Linked DNA regions of Oryzias latipes. The protein of the gene in region 2 purifies or fractionates together with the protein of the main gene of each other region. This does not show direct contact. Links are inferred from orthologs where the notes say so. Each region holds a gene or a part of one and is shown on either strand. Other genes may lie near its edges.

Region 1 (3,657 bases), on a different chromosome or scaffold from region 2:
CTAATCTTTTAATTCCTATGGTTGTTATTCAGTTTACTAAAACAGGAGGAAATGTTATGTTTGGTCAAGTGATGGAAAATGTGAGTTATTTTTAAAGTTTAGTGGAGTCTCAATTATATTTTTTTAGATGTTCTATTATGGTTTATGCTTTTGCCATTTGGCTGAAAATGATTCAATTTAGCAAACAATAAAACCTGATTTTCACACTTATCTAAATCCTGACATCAGTCATTCATAATCATTCTCTTTGTAGTTTTGTTTAAGTTGCAGGTCTTTGTTGTTCTTGTCAGATACCATTTCTGTAGCCGTATTGTTGTAATCAGAAAGAGTCAGCAGTGCTGCCGGCCTTTCCCTCAAACTGTTTTGTTTTATCTGTTTCCTACAGCTCCAAAAACCGAGTCCCCGCTTGGTGTGACAGAATCCTGTGGAGGGGCAACAAAGTGGAGCTGATCGAATACCGAAGTCATATGGAACTAAAAACCAGCGATCATAAACCTGTCAGTTCCATCTTCAGCATCGGGGTAAGATTTAATGCTGTTGAAGAGGAAACAACAGACAGCGGGTTCAAATTATACATAGATTAAATAGATCTTTAACTCTGAAAGTAGCATTTAACATACTAGAATAGAAAGACTTTAAATGCAGGTTTGTTTGTAGCATAAATTAGGTAAGGTGGGTTTTATTGTCAGTTCAGTCCTGTACTGTAGAAATAATGACATTAATTTTCTCAAGCTGCTACAAAAACAATAAGACAAAATCCACCATCTACTAAACTTAGACATTGTTTTATACATAAAATGATACAATTGAGAATGAATGTCAAACAATTATTTTGGCCATATTTTTCTAGCCTTATAATCAGAACTTGGTATGACTACCAAAATGATTCTTTCATTTTTTTTCACTTCATTAGTTCATGATTGGAGTCTATGTGGGGAAATTTTTTTTCGTCAGCTACCAATTGTGCAAGTTGAGAGAAGATGAGATCAAAGATGAGGAAAGATTAGAAAGGCCTGTCATTTTCATCATAGGTATACCTCAACAATGAGAGACAAAATGAGAAAAAAAATCCAGAAAATCATATTGTCTGATTTCATTTGTAAATTATCGTGGAAAATAAGTATTTGGTCAATTACATGAGTTCAACTCAGTACTTTATTTACGCTTTGTTGGCAATGACAGCAGTCGAATGTTTTCTGTAAGTCTGTAAGGTTTTCCCAAACTGTTGCTGGTATTTTGGCCCATTCCTCCATGCAGATCTCCTCTAGAGCAGAGTTGTTTTGGGGCTGTTGCTGGGCAACACAGACTTTCAACTTTCTCCAAAGATTTTCTATGGGGTTGAGATCTGGAGACTGGCTAGGCCACTCCAAGACCTTGAAACGCTTCTTAAGAAGCCACTCCTTTGTTGCCAGGGCAGTGCGTTTGGGATCATTGTCATGATGAAAGACTCTGACATGTTTCATCTTCAATACCCTTGCTGATGGAAGGAGGTTTTTGGATTCATCTGACCATAGGACATTCTCCCAATCCTATTCTGGATCATCCAAATGCTTTTTAGTAAACTTTAGACGGGCCTACACATGTACTGTCTATAGCAGGGGGACACGTCTGGCACTGCAGGATTTGATTCCCTGGTGGTGTAGTGTGTTACTGATGGTAGCCTTTGTTACTTTAGTCCCAGCTCTCTGCAGGTCATTCACTAGGTCATCCGTGTGGTTATGGGGTTTTCGCTCTCCGTTCTTGTGATCATTGTGACCCCTCGGGATGAGATCTTGCAGGGAGCCCTAGATGGAGAGAGATAATCAGTGATCTTGTGCGTCTTCCATTTCCTTCCACAGTTGATTTCTTTACACCAAGCTGCTTACCTATTGCAGAAACAGGTTTCCCAGCCTGGTGCAGGTCAACAATTTGGTTTCTGGTGTCCTTAGACAGCTCCTTGGTCTTGGTCCTAGTGGAGTTTGGAGTGTGACAGTTTGAGGTTGTGGACAGATGTCTTTTATTTAGATGACCAGTTCAAACAGGAGCCATAAATATAGGTAATACTGAACAGAGGATCCTCTACAGAAGAAGTTACAGGTCTGTGAGAGCCAGAAATCCTGCTTGTTTGTAGGTGAATAAATTCTTAGTTTCCACCTTAATTTACAAATAAAATCTTTAAGACTGTGATTTTCTGGATTTCTTTTTCAGATTTTGTCTCTCATAGTTGAGGTATACCTATGATGAAAGTTACAGGCGTCTCTCATCTTTTTAAGTGGTAGAACTTGCACAATAGGTGGCTGACTAAATACTGTTTTGCCCCACTGTATGTCTTTTTATTCTCAAATTTCCTTTCAAACCAATTTATTTGGTTACAAAAACACTTCATAAGTGATTTTAATCCGAACAAAGGTAGAACATGTATTAAAATGCCTTTTTCATGTGGATGAGAGCTAGGTGGACTGTTAAACGTGAGTGTAAGAATGAACCCACGTGGAAAGTAAAATAGATGCATCCAACAAGTGGAGTTTGATCAAACAATAACTGGAGGCTTGGACAGGGATCTGGCTAAAGAACACCTCATCTGTAACCCTTATTGTCTTACTATAGTGGAAACATGGGCAAGTCCGGTTTGCTGAGTCCATTGTGTCTTACAGAGAGCGACTGATTCACGTTGTGATGATTAATTGGCTTGTGGGTTTGTTCTCACCCTAGAATACACTTTGTCCACTGTCTGCATTCTCTGCCTTCTCAAGAGAACTTTTGTCCCTCCCGTGTCCTGACCAGCAACAGCCGGCACCACAGAAAGTAGTGGAAAAAGGCCTCAGCCTGAGGCTACATCATTGTTGTGACTCTACCTGCTGTCAGTTCCTGCTTTTTTAGAATCTAGCGGTCAGAAACGTGATCAATTTGTCCTGACGTTCACATGTCATGAACTGAAAGTAGTGGTTGGCCTGAATTATCGTTTTACCATCACAATAGATCTGGAGAAGTTGCAAAACAACACACTTTGTAAAAACAAATATTTTGTTCCTGTTTTTGTTGCAGGTAAAAGTCGGTGATGACCAGCGTTTTAAAAAGGTGTTTGAGGAAACGGTTCGACAGATAGATAGAATGGAAAACGACTTCCTTCCATCTGTGTCCTTAAGCAAGACTGAGGTAAAAATGCAGAAAGATACTCGTGTTCTCAAAAAAGTAATACTAAGTCATGTTTTAACTATGCGTGTATAAATGTGTAATATTTCAAGATTCCCACACATAAAAACAATCACATTTTTAAGGTTTTAAAGCTCTGATTACCTTTGCTTCTTTTCTTTGCTCTCTAGTTTTTCTTCATTGATGTAAAGTTCAGACAGCTTCAGAGGGAACGTTTTCTAATCACCAATGACGGTCAGGTTCCCTGCCATTTTGCCTTCATCCCCAAATGCAATCAGTCGCAGTACTGCAAGTCCTGGCTGCGCGCTGAGCCCAGCGATGGATTCTTAGAGCCAAGTATGTTCCCACGACCTTCAACAAAATGCTTCACCAAGAGACCGTTTCTAAATGTGTCACCTATGATGACATGTCTTCAATATTTATTTTTGAAACACTGATTTTATTATATGCTTTAATCTGAACTTCTTCATTTCTGTCTGAACAGAAGAGACTCTGGAGATCTATCTGGAGGTGTATGTCAGTAAA
Region 2 (3,757 bases):
TCACAAGGTAAGAAAACAGGAATCCTGTTGATCTCTTCTTATCTGGATAGAAAACATGTTTTTGTCAACTCATGATTAATACTACAAGTAAGCATTCTATTGCTTTGTTAACGCAAGTCAAAAGACAGAAATTGAATTTGCGAAAAGGGTTATTACTTCTTGAGCTCAAACTTTTTCTCCACAAAAAAAAAACAACTTTATATAAAAAATTGACAATCAATACATAGCATCTCAACTGACTGAATAAAAAAGGGGCCAAATGAAGAAAGTAATAAATAAAATAAATTAATGGGGGGGGGGGCAATTGCAGAGCATAGTTAAGGTTTCACAAACTTAAACGGGGAGAAAATAGCATCACGAATTATTTAAATCTTATTTTTGAAACTATTTAAGGCCTTAAAAAATATTACTTGAGCACACATCTGTAGCCAACAAAACGTCCTCGAGTCGACCAATTGTAATTGAGTATTTTTGTGGGTGCAAGAGAAACCCATAAACAACGCAGCAATGTCAAATAATATTCATAAATGAAAAAAAAAATCCGTAATAGTTTCATCATTTTAACAACCCAGTTTTAACTCGTCACCGAATAAGCATGTAGCAATTAAATAGCATTACTAGCTAGCTAAAGACAACATTGTGAAAATGCTAAGCTAACCGGTAGCGACTTATAAAGAGCATCTAAAGCTCAACAAATCAAATTTTAGCGGAAAACAAAGAAAAAACGTATAAAATGATCAATGTTTAGCTTTGCGAGTAACTATATATTCAGCATAAATTATAAACAACGTTTCAAACAATCCGCTAAACACACTTACCAGTTTGCTAACGAGGGCACTACGCAAGCGTTTGTTCGCACTGAGCATGCGCCAAATCATTTCCCGAGTTTGTCAACCGTTAAAAAATGATGCCCCCATCTGGACTGGAGCGGGTGTTTGCCCTTGTATTTACTTATTTTTTTCCCCTCTTTAAAACTCAGAATCATAACGGAACGATCGTTAAAATGTTGAATTGTTACTAACTTCAAGTGATTTGTTAAATATAGACTTTAAAACATTTTTGACCCTCGTTTGTTCCTGTACTCGTTGATCCCCGTGTATGGGAGTGTCGGTGCAGAGAGAGAAAGCAGCCGATGCGTCCGTTTGTAAAGAAGGAGAAGTGTTACAATTGACCGCAGAAATGACCAGTTATTCCTCGACACTTTTCGAATACATTAGATAGCGAGCCGACTAATTCCACGACAAACTGTCGCTTAACACGTCGTAAAGTTGTTACGCAACTCAACGATGTTTTTAGTCAGGAAAGCGGAGCAGTAACAGACTGAAGTCCACCCCGCCCGCCTGCCTGCCTGTCCGGGTTGAATGTACCTGCTTCCACCGGGACTGGGATGCGTTTTAACGAAAAGGAGATGGTCTCTTTGAGCCGCCAGCCTTCGGAGATGGCAGCCGAATTAGGAATGCGGGGACCCAAAAAAGGAGACGGTAACGCCGGAGCGCTGATATTTATCAGTGACGCAAATGAATAGTTCCTACTTTGTATTTATTATAGGCCTCAATCTCTGACCGAATTATTTAAAAAGATGGATTATAATTACATATTCTCTTTTAGCGATGGACATAGCATAACTGATAATATTATTATTATTATTGGATGCAGTTGTCAAGAGGAGACTAGTAAAACTCGTCGTTAACTTCCTGTTTTACTTTCGGATAGATGAAGAGGAGGTGAGAGATGATTTCTTATTTCACCACATTTTTAAGTGTTTTGTATTATTTATATATACTTTTTTTTAAGTTGAGGTTCCAGTTTTTTGCTTTTTTATTTTTTTTAGCCAATTGGAGCTTTGCTGTTGGAGCAGTGTCGAGTGGAGAAGGAGGACAAACAGACTTTCTCCATTGGTGAGTGAGTCACTATTACTTGCAATACTTTCACTCCAACAAAACAGTTACTGCTTTGCTAAGTAGGGTTGTCTAATATAATTTCTTTAAATTTTCAGTACAAATTCAATTTTTTTTAATCACATTTTTAATGTTACAATACACAAGGACATTAATTATTTCTTTTTATTCGGTTTATACATATAATCTATCTTGGAAAATCTGGTTTTGGAATGTACATTTTAAAGGTAAATTTGTATGATATTAAATCATTAAGTTATGAATCAATTCAATTCAGTATTTTGAAAGAGAAACACAAGCTTGCGGTTCAGTGAATGAGACCATAAATATTGTCTGACTTTTTTTTCTTTCTCTAAAATATACAGCTGAATTAATGTTTATAACATTTATTTTAATTGCAGTATATGCTTCTGATATTTTCTCTGCTGACAGCGTTTCTAGATGAAGCAGAGAGGAAATATGTGTTTGAATGTGACTCTGAAGACCAATGTAAGGAATGGATAGATGCTATTATCAAAGCCAGGTACGTTTTTTTAATCACTTTTATTAACAAACACATTGCCATTTTTTATGGAGTTATGAAACATAATTTGTAATAATGTAATTCAGCGGGAAAAAACAAAAATAGTTTCATTTATAAATACATCTTTTTTAAAGCCTCTGCTTAGTGTGTTGATCCAGTTTTTATCTTAAAGGAGTACAAATCACAGTCAATCTTGAGAAAAATAAAAGTGCAATAATACCATTTATCTGTGGTACTTGGAGTTTCCAGTAAACAGTGAATTGTCCTCATTTGAAAGACCTGCTGATGTGGTGCTGCTTTTCGCCTCTTATCTTCCAAATTACGTCCTCCAACAATACGGTCACAGGAAGTCACGTGTGGCCAAGATAAAAAACAAAACAAAAGCATCTTTACAACTTTGCAAATTTTATCTGACCAATTTGCAAGCTATTACTAGCAGCTCATATAGGTTTAGTTATAGTAACAGTAGCTGTTCAAGCTTAAAGTTTAAGTTAATTTACAGTATTAGCTCTGTTTTTATTAGTCTGGAGTTTGTTTGACCCATTTGGATAAATCCAGATAGTTAGTCCAATCAAACCACATTTCACATAAAAAAAACCACAGAGAACTTGAGAATGCCATGCTTAGTCTGCATTTTTTTTTGTAGTCTTTTTGCATGTATTCTTTAAAAAGTGCTACCAATGATGCAATTTTAAAGCAACAAACTCAAATAAACAAATATTCGCTCCATGACAATATCACAAACTATTTTAGTTTCATTGCAACTGAACTTCATGTTTGTTTTAGTTGTTATGCAGAATAGTGAGTAAGGTATGGCAGCATAAATGACCTTTCCCCTAAATAACCATAAAACTGATTTATTCAAGGCAATATTTTCTTTTCAGAAGTACAGCGGTCTAAGTAAAATTGGATAGAAGATGGATAATTTTTAGAAAGATAGGACTATGTGTCATTGATATTGGTTCTAAAAAAAAGAATTCATGCTTTTTTAATGTAACATATCAAAAACAAAGTTGCAAACAGTTCTTTCAAGCAATTTAGGACCATGAAGAATTTTTGGCATGAAATTGTTCACCAGGTTGTAGAAACATTAAATCCAAGAAAATGACATTTGTGTAAAGTCTAAAAGAAGAAGATATAAAAAATGAATGCCTCAAAATGGTAAAACAGATACGTTAAATGTGCTTTGAAATAATTCTTCTAGTACGATTCTTGGTGTGAAGCAGCAACATTTTCTCAGTGTTGACATTTACCATTTAGGATGAAGACAGCATTGATTTCCCAAAGCATCGTGCAGCAGCAGAGAGTATGTGCTGATTCCAATAAACCAGTGCAA

What was found. The genes of interacting proteins can lie anywhere in the genome.
Region 1: the proteins of plekhj1 (region 2) and ocrl purify together in Homo sapiens (co-immunoprecipitation; 3 studies listed by BioGRID and IntAct, counting the BioPlex papers as one, with this or other methods). This does not show direct contact. The link is inferred for Oryzias latipes from reciprocal best matches to the Homo sapiens genes PLEKHJ1 and OCRL.

The regions. Positions count from the first base shown.
Region 1 is NC_019868.2:9,856,415-9,860,071, forward strand, and holds part of ocrl (inositol polyphosphate 5-phosphatase OCRL-1), read left to right. Parts: intron 1-385; coding exon 386-521; intron 522-3,024; coding exon 3,025-3,135; intron 3,136-3,302; coding exon 3,303-3,468; intron 3,469-3,616; coding exon 3,617-3,657. UniProt on the Homo sapiens protein: Catalyzes the hydrolysis of the 5-position phosphate of phosphatidylinositol 4,5-bisphosphate (PtdIns(4,5)P2) and phosphatidylinositol-3,4,5-bisphosphate (PtdIns(3,4,5)P3), with the greatest catalytic activity towards PtdIns(4,5)P2.
Region 2 is NC_019875.2:22,629,070-22,632,826, forward strand, and holds the start of plekhj1 (pleckstrin homology domain-containing family J member 1), read left to right. Parts: upstream 1-954; 5' UTR 955-1,387; coding exon 1,388-1,481; intron 1,482-1,656; coding exon 1,657-1,724; intron 1,725-1,831; coding exon 1,832-1,898; intron 1,899-2,330; coding exon 2,331-2,421; intron 2,422-3,757.